3 linked regions of the Cricetulus griseus genome follow. Each later gene encodes a partner of the first gene's protein in a complex. Links are inferred from orthologs where the notes say so. Each region holds a gene or a part of one and is shown in the gene's direction. Other genes may lie near its edges.

Region 1 (3,752 bases):
ATATCTAGGTTCAAAGTCGGGAAATGTGATCCCATTTTCTGCTTCTGGTCCCATTTTGTGTCTACCACATACTGATTTAGAGTTCACCCATTTTATTTCCCAGTGATTCTGTTGAGCCATTTTCTCTCATAGAAGTTACAGTATAGTCCCTAGGTTTGAGTCTTGACCCCACCACTTGTTTTTTTACTTGTGACTAACACCCATTTCATAGGGCATGCGATATGATAGAAGATACTTGCTAACGCCTCCGTATTGTCATTCACTGTTACTCAGGTCTCAACAGTGTGTTACTTGTGTGTTAGTTTCATGACTTATCTGTTACCTGAGGTGCCCAGCGCTATGCCTGCTCACAAGTTCCTTTGGGTGCTTGCTTTGGGTAATATGGCTCACTGGAATAAAGAATGGAACCACAGAAAAACCCTAAAACCCTGGCACAGAGCTGTGGCTGTCCTCCTCGCTTAGAAGCTGAACTCAGATGAACTGCTGGACATGTGAAGTGGCCAGACCTGCAGATCCAAAGCTGGGGTCTCCACGACACAGGGCAACAACAGGCTATCCAAGAGGAGTCCCAGTGAGGGCCCAGTATTGATAGTGTAGCAGAAGCCAGAGGCCTCAACCCAGACCAGTGACTCATTGAACTTACAAGTAAAGATGTATGGACTAAAGGGTATACTGTGTAACCCACTGGGCCACACTACAGCTTCCTCGATGAGATTTTGTTTTGTTTTTGTTGTTTGTCTGCTTGTGGGTTTACTTTTAAATTTTGTTTTGTTTTGGGGGAGGTTGCAAGGGCAGAGGGTAGAAGCAGGGGGAACAGGGAGATGAATAGGATCTGAATGCATGATATAAAATCCACAAAGAATCAATGAAGAGTTTAAAAAAAAAAAGAAAGAAAAGAAAAAGAAAAACCCTTAACCCTTGTGTGGCCTCATGCTATGCTGTTGTTATTATCATCATGACAAACACAATTACAAACCTGTAATTTAAACTAGTTTAAACTAAATATAGCTGGAACACCATGAAGAATTTGTGACTCCTGTTGCAGGGTTAGCTGGGATAAAGAGTTACAATTCAACTCTAGCTCTTTCTCATTTATACTGCGCCCATTTGTTGAAGTCCTTACTATGTTGTTTATTGTATGAAGAGCAAAGATAACAGGAGACTACATAGAACTTCATTTCAGGAACTTACAGATCCTCGCCAGAGCTTGCCAAGCTTTGCAAAAGTTGCACACCCAAATGGAGAATTGCTCAGAAACAGATTGTCACTGTCATGTGCAGTGTTTTTGAGATCTAGAAAGCTGTAATAGATCCAGACTGCTATGCTACTGAGCTCTTAACATGAAAAGTCAGTAGCGACCTTGGCAGCTGGGTGACGCATGTGGGAACAGTGGGAGTGACCCTGGCTGGGAAACAGGAGGCCTGGATATTGTTTCTCTTCTCTGTATCCTGCTCGGCATCACAGGACTCTGAACTCTGAAGCCTGTACAATGGCCTTCCCAGGCCGATCACGCCCGTGCACTATCCCAGAAAATGAAGAAATCCCCCGGACAGTCCTTAACAGTGTCCTCGAGACTAATGGGAACGAAGACGAGAGGGCTGTATCCAAGCTGCAACGCAGGCACAGTGATGTAAAAGTCTACAAGGAATTTTGTGATTTTTATGCGAAATTGTGAGTCTCTCTCCTCCTGGAATGCTGGCTTTCAAATCTCCACCTCTTCAGCTCTGCGTTCCCTAGCCTTTTGGTCCAGCTAATGTGTTTTAATTTAGCACGGTTTTTCCAGGGTGTACTGAGGGTTTGGGGTGGCTCACAGATTGCCTTGTCTTGTAAACTACCAGAGGACGTAATAGATGTCAAGGAAAATGCTACCTTCCTGGGAAGAGTAGCAAGCTCTCATCTTTCTAATAATGGTACATTTTCATTGTGTTATCCATGAGAGAAGTTGGTACTTTATGTTGTCAGGATCTATAACAGGAAAAAAATATACTCTGAAAGTTCTCAAAGATGAAACTAAAATTTTAATTGAGAAACACTTTTCTGGGGAATTATTCCATAGCCAGTATTTGAGGTGACTAGTAAACTCGGGATATTTTGCACACTGTTGTATTTGGAGAGCAGAAAATTTGTTTCACTTGTAGTGATTAATAAGATGTGAGAAATTGGAAAGCTTGATTGTAGTTTCCTGAGCAGCCGACCTGTAGAAGTAGGTCTACAACGTCAATCCCAGCTGGCCAGTCGGACGCTTTCCTAAAGGCTTCCATAGACATACATTCTCCCCATTCCCATAGTTTCTTTATCAGCAACACTTTTTACTGAAAAAAAGTTTCTGGAAAATTAAGCAATTAGATATAACCAATCTAATGATTTGTCTCAAAAAAATAACTTCTATCATATGTTATATTAAATATTGTCAGCTATAAAAAAATGTGAACAGTTCTGGAGAGTCAGGCAAGAGAGGAGCTGAGCATGTAATCCCAACACTTAGGAGGTATGGAGGACCAGGAATTTGAGGCCAGCCTGGGCTACATATGACCCTGACTCAAAAAAAAGAAAAAAAAAATCAACCAGCCAACAAACAAGATAGAGGAAAGGGAAATATGAGGTCAGTCAGGAGGCAAGTGATTGCTGTGTCCTGTTCCTCCTTTGTTACTAAAGAGAGAGAGAGTGTGTGTGTGTGTGTGTCTGTCTTACTATATATATATATATATATATATATATATATATATATATATTTGTGTATTCTGCTCAGCATCACAGGATGATCTACCCATTTTACCAGTTCTACTTGAGTATTCAGACATAAAGTCTGGAATGTAGTGAATATGAACAAGTCAGTGGTAAATAGCATTTTTTATTCCAAGGACTTCTTTATGTTGTCTCAGCACAACCACAGAAAGGAGCTGGGGGGTGGGGTTTGATTGCGGCAGCCAGCACATGTCTTTAATCCCAGCAATTGGGAGGCAGAAGCAGGTAGATCTCCTGTGAGCTCAAGGCCAGCCTGGTCTACAGAGCAAGTTCCAGGACCGCCAGAGCTACACAGAGAAACCCTGTCTTAAAAAAACAATTCAAAAACAGGATTGAAATCCAGTACTTGTATGAGAAATTGTATTTATTAATTCACTGAAAAGTAACTCATTGCATGTTGATAATATAAAGAATGTTGTTGCCTTACATTTTTGTACATTTTGTTGATGTTTTTCTTGATGCAAGCTCCTTCCTTACAATTGCTTCTGCAAGAGATGTGGCTGAGAGAAAGCGCTTCAGAATTTCCATACCTTGAGAGTCACTGAGTTAAGTGGTAGTGGATCAGGACATTCCAGAATGTTCTCCAGCTTTTGAGGAAGTCCATTAAAACTGAGGTCTAGCTTGGTGGTGGTGGTGCATGCCTTTGATCCCTCTGTGAGTTTGAGACCAGCCTGATCTACAGAGAGAGAGAGTTCAAGGACAGCCAGGGTGGTTACACAGAGAAATCCTGCTGAGCTTGGGATGTCCTTGAGAGAATTTAGAATAAATTTAGACTTTAGTAGCCTCTTCTGCTTTCCAGAGTGGCTCATCTTTTTATTATGTCATTCTCGAACAGCTTCTGAGAATTATTGAGCAGGTGTGGGCTTAGTGTCCTTCCCCACTCAGTCACTCTTTCTGTAAGAAAAGGGTGTACAAATCTCTCCAGAACTTCATTAAAACTATCACTGTTGATCTGGGATCTTCTCATGTCACATTAATTCTGAGATGGCAAAGTGGAAATCTTGTTT
Region 2 (3,652 bases), on another chromosome or scaffold:
ACCCAGACATCGAAACCCCATCTTCTTCAGCCTCTGCTCCTCATGTAGCCCAAGCAAGCCCCAAACTCAAACCTAACTCTATAATGGATTTTTGTTTTCTCTTTTTCTTCCAGGGCCCTTTCTGGAAGACATGGTGAGTGTTGTGTGCTTCTCCAGCTCTGGTGGCCTTATTGAAGCTAGATAGTACTATCATCTGATGTATCTGCCCCAGCTTGGGGACACATTGGCCAGGTTGGGAGGGACAGCTTAGTGACATAAAGAACACTTATTCATCAACACAGATATGGCCCCAGTGGGGAAGACTTACCCTGTACCTGGCATGGAAATTTAGGAAGAGATGTTTGAATGCACTTGGGAGCTAGTCCCCGGCCTCACTCACTCTTAGTCCCCATCATGACTCCCCTCTCCCAGAACTTCAGTCTTGTTTATAGAATCTTCAAGGGTCGGAGATATATCACACACACACACACACACACACACACACACACACACACACACACACACACACACACCACACTTCCTAGCAGTCTTAGCTTTGCCCATCAGTGCCAAGTGGAAAAGGCTGACCTTGGGTCACAGACCCTCCCCATCCCAGCTTGCTTCTGGAAACTTCTAGGTCACCTCTGGTTCTGAGAATCTGGCACCACAGCAAGAAGTATCCCTGCCAGGAGCATGGCTTAGCTATGTTCTATCAGCCTGATTCATGGTGATCTCATGAAATGTTTTGATTATACTAAAAACTAGCCCCAGGGAAGGCTTATCTTTCAGATGATGTTTAATAGAAGGGGAAACTGAGGCTCAGAGGGGTTAGCAGATGTGGAGTGCCCCAGAAAGAGACCCTTGTTCTATCTTGGAAGGTACTGGTCTCTTGTGCCCTCACCTCTGCCCCTACCAGGATAATTTTTCTGAAAATTAGCCAGAACAATTTGCTAGTTGGGTAACAAATGACCAGAGGATGTCAGAAACACTTTAGAACTGTGACTACATTGGGATATGTGGGATAGAAGTGAAGAGAAAGGACCAAGCCCGGGTCAGTCTGCTTAGAAATGTGTTACCTGGCGGACACACACAGACGGTGACATTGGGATAAGAATCGAGCACAGATTCCCTATGGTAGCTGACCACATGGCTCCCAGCAGCCCTACTTTACACTGCATGGTGTGCGTTTCCCTGTTTCAGAACGTGACGCCTTTGACACGCTGTTTGACCATGCTCCAGACAAGCTCAACGTGGTAAAGAAGGTAGGCCTATGGTATCTGGGGGCAGCAAGGGCTAGGACCCCTCAGGGCATGAAGAAATCTCAGCTTGTACCAGGGATATCCTGTGCATCTCTTCCCTCTCTTGGTCGCTGGTTAGTCATCCAGGGCCCTTCTGCTCCCAGCAGGATGCTTACCCTGTCTTCCCATTCACACTGACTCCAGCATTCTCTGCTCCTCACTCAGAATTCTTCAACTCCCTGGGCACAGGAGATGGTACCAAAGCAGGAATCAACAAGAGGGACCCAGAGGGTCATTTTGTCTCTTGCTGTCTTCTTAATTCCCCTGCTGCCCACCCTGACCCCCAACCAGATATCCACCTATCCTCCTGTCTCTCAGGGGTCCCCTGTCCCTTACAGCCTGTGGGCTACCTAACCAAGAGCCTCTTCCCTGGCCCCAGGGCCCTTTGACACATGAAAGCCTCCATCTCAGTGCCTTTTTGTTTCTCTTTTAGACTCTCATCACATTCGTGAACAAGCACCTGAATAAACTAAACTTGGAGGTCACAGAACTGGAGACACAGGTGAGTGCCAGTTCCAGGGACCCAAAGCTTTCCAGGGAGAGGGATGGGATGTGAGATGTGAGCTGCTCAGAGAGGTGAACCAGATAGGATATTTTCCCCAGCTGTTTTTAGAAAAGTTGCAATAAAGAATTCTGTCTAGTTTACACATGACACACAACATGTGGCCAAGCTCATTCTCTCTCTACCTCTGAATGGCTCCCTCGTTTCTCTTCAGAACAAGTGCACTGGCCTGGGTCACCACTGTCCAGTGATTAGATCACCACTGTCCACTGATTGGATGCAGATGCTGGCAGTTTTAGCATTAGTGTTCTGTTTTCATCTGTTTAGAGGGGGATCATGAAGTGATGGTGTGGAGCAATAAGATGGGCCTGTCACATGATAAAAGGACAGTCATCCTGCTTTCCCCTGCCCCGTGTTGTCTGTCCCATCCCCTCAGTCCCTTTTTAACACAGCCTTTAACACTCATCCTTTCTTGGAATGACATCAGTAGAGTTTGTCATTGTTTTATTCTTTGATAATTTCATTTGTGTATATAATATATTTAGGTCATATCTACCCTACTCCCCCTTCCCAGCTCCTCCCAGACACTCCCACCCTTCTTCTAACTTTATGTCCTCCTCTTTTTTAAAAAATAACCTACTGAGTACAATCAGAGCTGCCCATATGCACAAGGGTGTAGGACCATCCACTGGATCAGAAGTAGTCTATCAAGGAATCACACCTCTGAAGAAAACTGACTCTTCTCCCACCAGCAGCCATCAACTTCCAATAGCTCCTCAGCTACTTCTGGGGCATTCTGAGCCCCTCTTCCATTCAGGCTGGCATTGGTGATTTTGAAAAAGACCCAAGCAAATGGTTTGTAGGCCTTACAGGCTGCTCACTGTCCACCCCAGCACTCCCTAGGAGACACTCTCTGGCATTTGTCTTATTAGTCCCACTATGGTGGTAAAATAGGTCACCAGGGTAGTGTCTACTGGACTCTGACTAGAACCTGCTATGTCATTTTCTACCTTAGTACTTAATAACTAATCTGTAATTTGGCACTCTGGGCCTCTCATTTTGAGTGAACTGCTGCTGACTGATGTTCAGTGAGTGTAAGCAATTCCTGTCGTCTATAGAGCCCACTCCAGTCTTCACTGAGCTCTCTTGCTGTGTGTCTGAACTCTGGGACAATCTGGAGCATTCTAGAAAAGCAGCTAGAATGCTCTCTGGAACTTCCCCCTTGACTTGGGGCCAGGGCTGCTATGCCAGAGGGTGCTGCTTAGCACTCTGACATCTGTCCACAGGTCCCACCCAACAGGACAATCCCAGCAGACAGGGAGCCACCACCTGGCTGTCCCTCTGGGCAGAATCATCCTAACCCTATTGGCTCACAGATTGGTTGCCTCCCACCTCAGCCTACTCCAACCACAGCCAGACCCAGACCTGATTGCTTTAACTGCACTGTAGAGAGCTCTCGTCTCCACACAGATCCTGAGCTCTGCTCTCCAGGACCCACACAGGTGGCATGGGATACCATGCACAGGCCTCACCAGCATGAGCTGACCCAGGAGAGTATGGAGGAGCTCCAATTCTTCCTGGGCTCTGTGTGTCATTTGCATCACCCTAGGAAGCTTCATGAAGATGCTCCAGACCCAGACACTAGCAACCTAGTCCTTTTCATTCTCCTAATAGGATGACTGCAAACCCTAGCATCTGTGGTCTACAGATGTGTAGTGGCCCATCATCCTCTGCAGGTGCTAGGATAACAGATCAGCATCTGACTGTGACCTATCTGTTCACCTTAACACTGAGTCCCTAAAATGTACTCACCCCCAGACCACCACTTTCCTGATCACCCAGGATACACAGCTCACCGCCCTAGAACAAACCA
Region 3 (3,652 bases), on another chromosome or scaffold:
GGAATTTGTCCTGTAGAGTAGTGGATATGAAATGAGAGCAGTTTTGTAGAAAGCTCAGTGTGAAGAGGGCTAATGGGAATTGGGGTAGAGGTCCAGGGGCCAGTAAGGAAGTTACCTTTGTGTCTCAGGTGATCTGAATCAGTGACAGTGGAGGAAGGGATGGGAGCAGTGAGATTTAATTAGAAAACTATGTAAAAGAAAATTTGCCAAGACAGTTACTGGTGGGAGAGATACAATGTGGATTTCTGTGTTGGACAGCTAGCATGGATTTTGAGATGGAGACACATTTGGGAAGAAAATGAACTCAGGCTTGGTTCAGTTGAGTTTGGGCTGTCTTAGGACGGAAGGGTAAACTTGATGAACATGTACCTTAGTTATATCCTTCCCCTTTTGGAATTGTTTGCACTTTTGGCTCTTAAGTTTATTGATTATGCAAAACTACCAGTGTTCAACTCCATGGCTCCATAGAAGTTGCTATTTCAATAAAACTTTCAGTTCGTTGGGAAAGGAATGAAGATGGATTTCAAAAAGGATTTTCTGTTCTTGAATGTCATACTTATATATACACATTAAGGCCAGGGGAAGGCAGGATGGAGAGGACTGCTTGGCATAAGCAGGTAGAATGAAAGTGTGCACTTGGGAGACCATAAGCACAGGGTCACATGCATTCATAGTCCAAAAGACACCCAACCAAACAAATTTTGAGTTATGTAGTATTTGCTGTTTGTTATGATGATTGCAAGACATGCGAGAACTTTAGGCCAGCTCGTGAGAGAAAGTTTTGACCTTTTCTTAATTTTTAAAGCACAATGCATTGTGTATTTTACAAGAAATGAAAAGCCATGAATGTTTGAAGTTTGCAGGGTAATAGGTTTTGGGCTAATGACACAGTAAAGGACCACACTCAACTGTTCTGGACTGTCAGCCCAGTTTGTTGCTAGAGTCTATCTTGTCAGCACTTGGCAGTTAGTGAACCAGATGGAAGGCCTGACATAGATGTGCCTCATAGACTGTAACATCATAGGAACGCTGACATACCCTCTGTTTTGAGGCAAGTAGTCCAGAAGTTTGTTTTGCCTTGAGTAAAGTCAGCCTGGGACCCCCTCCACCTAAGACTTTTAAATCCACTTTTCTCTTGGGTTCCCTTTTGCTCAGTCATTTCTCATGAGGCCTGGTTGGTAGAGGTGGGCAACATTGTATCTTTTCTTAGATGGCATTGATTTTTAGTGTCACACACAGTCTCTCCCCGCGTCCAGTGTCTGTCAGCTTTCACTGAATTGTTTTAAAGCTGGCTTTTAAGTATTCTTAAAGACAGCGGCAATAGGAAAAATAAAGGCCTTGAAGGATAAAACATAATATCACAATTTTCTCTTAGATTATATATGTGTGTATGTATGTATGTATGTATGTATGTATGTATGTATGTATGTATGTAATTTGCTTCTCTGTTTTTGTAATAAGATTCTAGCCAAAAGCAACGTGGGGACTAAAAGGGTTTATTTGGCCTACAAGTTGTTTTAGTCTATTATTGGGGGCAGCCAAGATAGGAACTCAAAGCAGGAACTAGAGCAGAAACTAGAAGGAAAACCTGTTTACTAGCTTGCTTCCTCTGAGTTCTTCAGCTACCTTTCTTATACAGCTCAGGTCCACCTACATGAAGGATGGCAAGACCCATAATGTGTGGGCATTCTTATACCAATGAGCAATGAGGAAAGTGTCCCCACAGACATGCTGATAGGTCAGTCTAATAGAAGTGATTCCTCAGTGAAGATTCCCTTCTCTCAGGTGTATCTAGTTGATAACTAACATTAGTCACCATATAGTTTACCATCTTAACCTTTTTGCAGCATGTCATTCAAGATTGCTGTTTTCACACTACTACAGATGAAATCTTCAGAAGTTTCTTGTCTTGCAAACCTGAAACAACTAATTTCCCTCCCTCTGCCCCAGGCCCTGGCAACTAACATTCTAACTGGAGATAATTCTGATCATTAGTATAGTATATAGTTATTGAGCAAGAAGTTGGTTCCCCCTCCCATTAAAATGAATGGATGAAATAAAGCAAATACCTGTAATGCATGCTTTGAATTCTTGTTTACATATGCTTAAGGAAGTTTCTTTTCAGACAGGTGTTTTGTGCATTCATATGTAGAGTGGTATTCAAGTTTTTTTCCTGTTGGACTTAAGATTTTTCATACATTTCATAAGCATGAGTTATCTGAATAAAATGATTAAGTGAAGTTAGTATGTGTTATCTCATATGTGAGGTAAAATATGAAAGTCCTCTCAGTGGATTAAAGTGATGTTCACTAAGAAGATGTTAAAGGACCAAGAATTTCAGTTATTCAGGAATAAGTTCAAGAGATTATTTTATACCATAGTAACTAGAATTAATGATATTTGCTGTATTTGAAAGTTGCTCTGAGACTAGATTTGTGTGTATCTGCATTCCCAGTGTACTCTCAGCACATGCAGAATGCTCATGAAATCAGGTGTATGTTAAATACCTTAATGTGGTGTTTCCTCCATTGTGCCCATATTTCCCAACAGCATGTTGTATATACCATTAGTGTGACAATTTCTTTTTGTCAATCAAATTATATGAATAAAATGAAAAATCAAGCAGCATTCTGTGAATGCAGAATCATGGCAGGCTTTTGGGCTTTCATCCTGTTGAGATGGGTTTGCCATGTTTCCAGTGTTCCCTGTGAACTTGTGCTTTGCAGGAGGTGACGTGTTCTTTCTGTCCCCAAACTGCAGCATGAACAGGTTGAACACACTGCCTCGAGGATTCGGCTCTCTCCCAGCTCTGGAGGTCCTGGACTTGACCTACAACAACCTGAATGAACATTCTCTCCCCGGAAACTTCTTCTACCTCAGTGAGAAACTTTTAATTCTGTAAATCTCTTTAACACAGTACTTTGGTTCTAAGAGTAAAAATTTATTTGCTAGTTCTAAAACTCTTAAGAGAAATTATTAGATACATGTATATAGTTCCATCACAGAGTCCTTTTAAATATTCCTTCATTGTTCAGCAGGATTTATATTTGATGTGTAGGTGGCTGACACCACTGGGCAGAAGCAGACTTAGTAATATCATATTAACTTTCCAAAAGAGATTTTGTTCCTCCATGAGATCAAGTCTCCCATTTAACTAAGATTCTTGATTTCCTTCTTAAAGAATACAAAAGGAAAGAAAGAAAAGGCTTTCTCTGCTTTCTATTAATTCTCTGCAATGCACTGTTCAAAGATACTCCAGAAAATTGTTTATTAAAAATCCGTTCTCAAGCTGCTAACAGAATTGTTTAAATGTCCAGCTCAGATTCTTATATAGGTTTTGAAGAGCTCTTCTTGCCATAGACTAATTCTGCCTCTTACATAGCCATTATGGAATTGCTTATCACATCTGGTCACATGTTTGTCTTTTCATACTATTTTTGCTATAGATACATACAAAAATTTGGATGGCTAATATCCCAATGGCTTAGGAGACACTCATAACAAACATAACTGTATGTTAAGTTAGTAGTCTGCACCTGTGAATGGTGACTTCTGTGTCCTGTGGAATTCTGTTGGTGCTGTTCTTTCTGTAGGCACAAGTTTTTGCTGAACTCCACTTACAATGTTCTGGGCATTTGTTTATAATACTCAT

The links. Proteins that work in one complex are often made in the same cells at the same time.
Region 2: Lims1 (region 1) and Parva share a complex: the UniProt entries of both Homo sapiens proteins name them as parts of the heterotrimeric IPP (ILK-PINCH-PARVIN) complex. The link is inferred for Cricetulus griseus from reciprocal best matches to the Homo sapiens genes LIMS1 and PARVA.
Region 3: the proteins of Lims1 (region 1) and Rsu1 are in contact, whole or in part, in a crystal structure (PDB 7LT9), measured with the Homo sapiens proteins. The link is inferred for Cricetulus griseus from reciprocal best matches to the Homo sapiens genes LIMS1 and RSU1. Residues at the interface, in NP_001180417.1 of Homo sapiens: Cys252, Phe253, His254, Cys255, Asn256, Leu267, Asn268, Lys269, Ser279, Thr280, Cys281, Asn282, Thr283, Glu293, Phe294, Asp295, Met296, Lys297, Cys303, Lys306, Phe307, Pro308, Glu310, Leu311, Arg314, Leu315, Lys317, Leu318, Ala319; in NP_036557.1 of Homo sapiens: Asp21, Ser23, Asp24, Gln44, Val46, Ser48, His49, Val67, Asn69, Phe71, Asn72, His90, Asn92, Met95, Glu112, Asp115, Thr117, Tyr118, Arg137, Ala138, Tyr140, Ser142, Asp143, Ile161, Ser163, Arg165, Asp166, Glu184, His186, Gln188.

Annotation. Positions count from the first base shown.
Region 1 is NW_023276807.1:2,693,811-2,697,562, reverse strand, and holds the start of Lims1 (LIM and senescent cell antigen-like-containing domain protein 1), read left to right. Parts: upstream 1-1,474; 5' UTR 1,475-1,489; coding exon 1,490-1,671; intron 1,672-3,752. UniProt on the Homo sapiens protein: Within the IPP (ILK-PINCH-PARVIN) complex, binds to F-actin, promoting F-actin bundling, a process required to generate force for actin cytoskeleton reorganization and subsequent dynamic cell adhesion events such as cell spreading and migration.
Region 2 is NC_048596.1:88,111,256-88,114,907, reverse strand, and holds part of Parva (alpha-parvin), read left to right. Parts: intron 1-113; coding exon 114-133; intron 134-1,179; coding exon 1,180-1,241; intron 1,242-1,710; coding exon 1,711-1,779; intron 1,780-3,652. UniProt on the Homo sapiens protein: Plays a role in sarcomere organization and in smooth muscle cell contraction. Required for normal development of the embryonic cardiovascular system, and for normal septation of the heart outflow tract.
Region 3 is NC_048596.1:219,325,418-219,329,069, forward strand, and holds part of Rsu1 (ras suppressor protein 1), read left to right. Parts: intron 1-2,760; coding exon 2,761-2,879; intron 2,880-3,652. UniProt on the Homo sapiens protein: Potentially plays a role in the Ras signal transduction pathway. Capable of suppressing v-Ras transformation in vitro.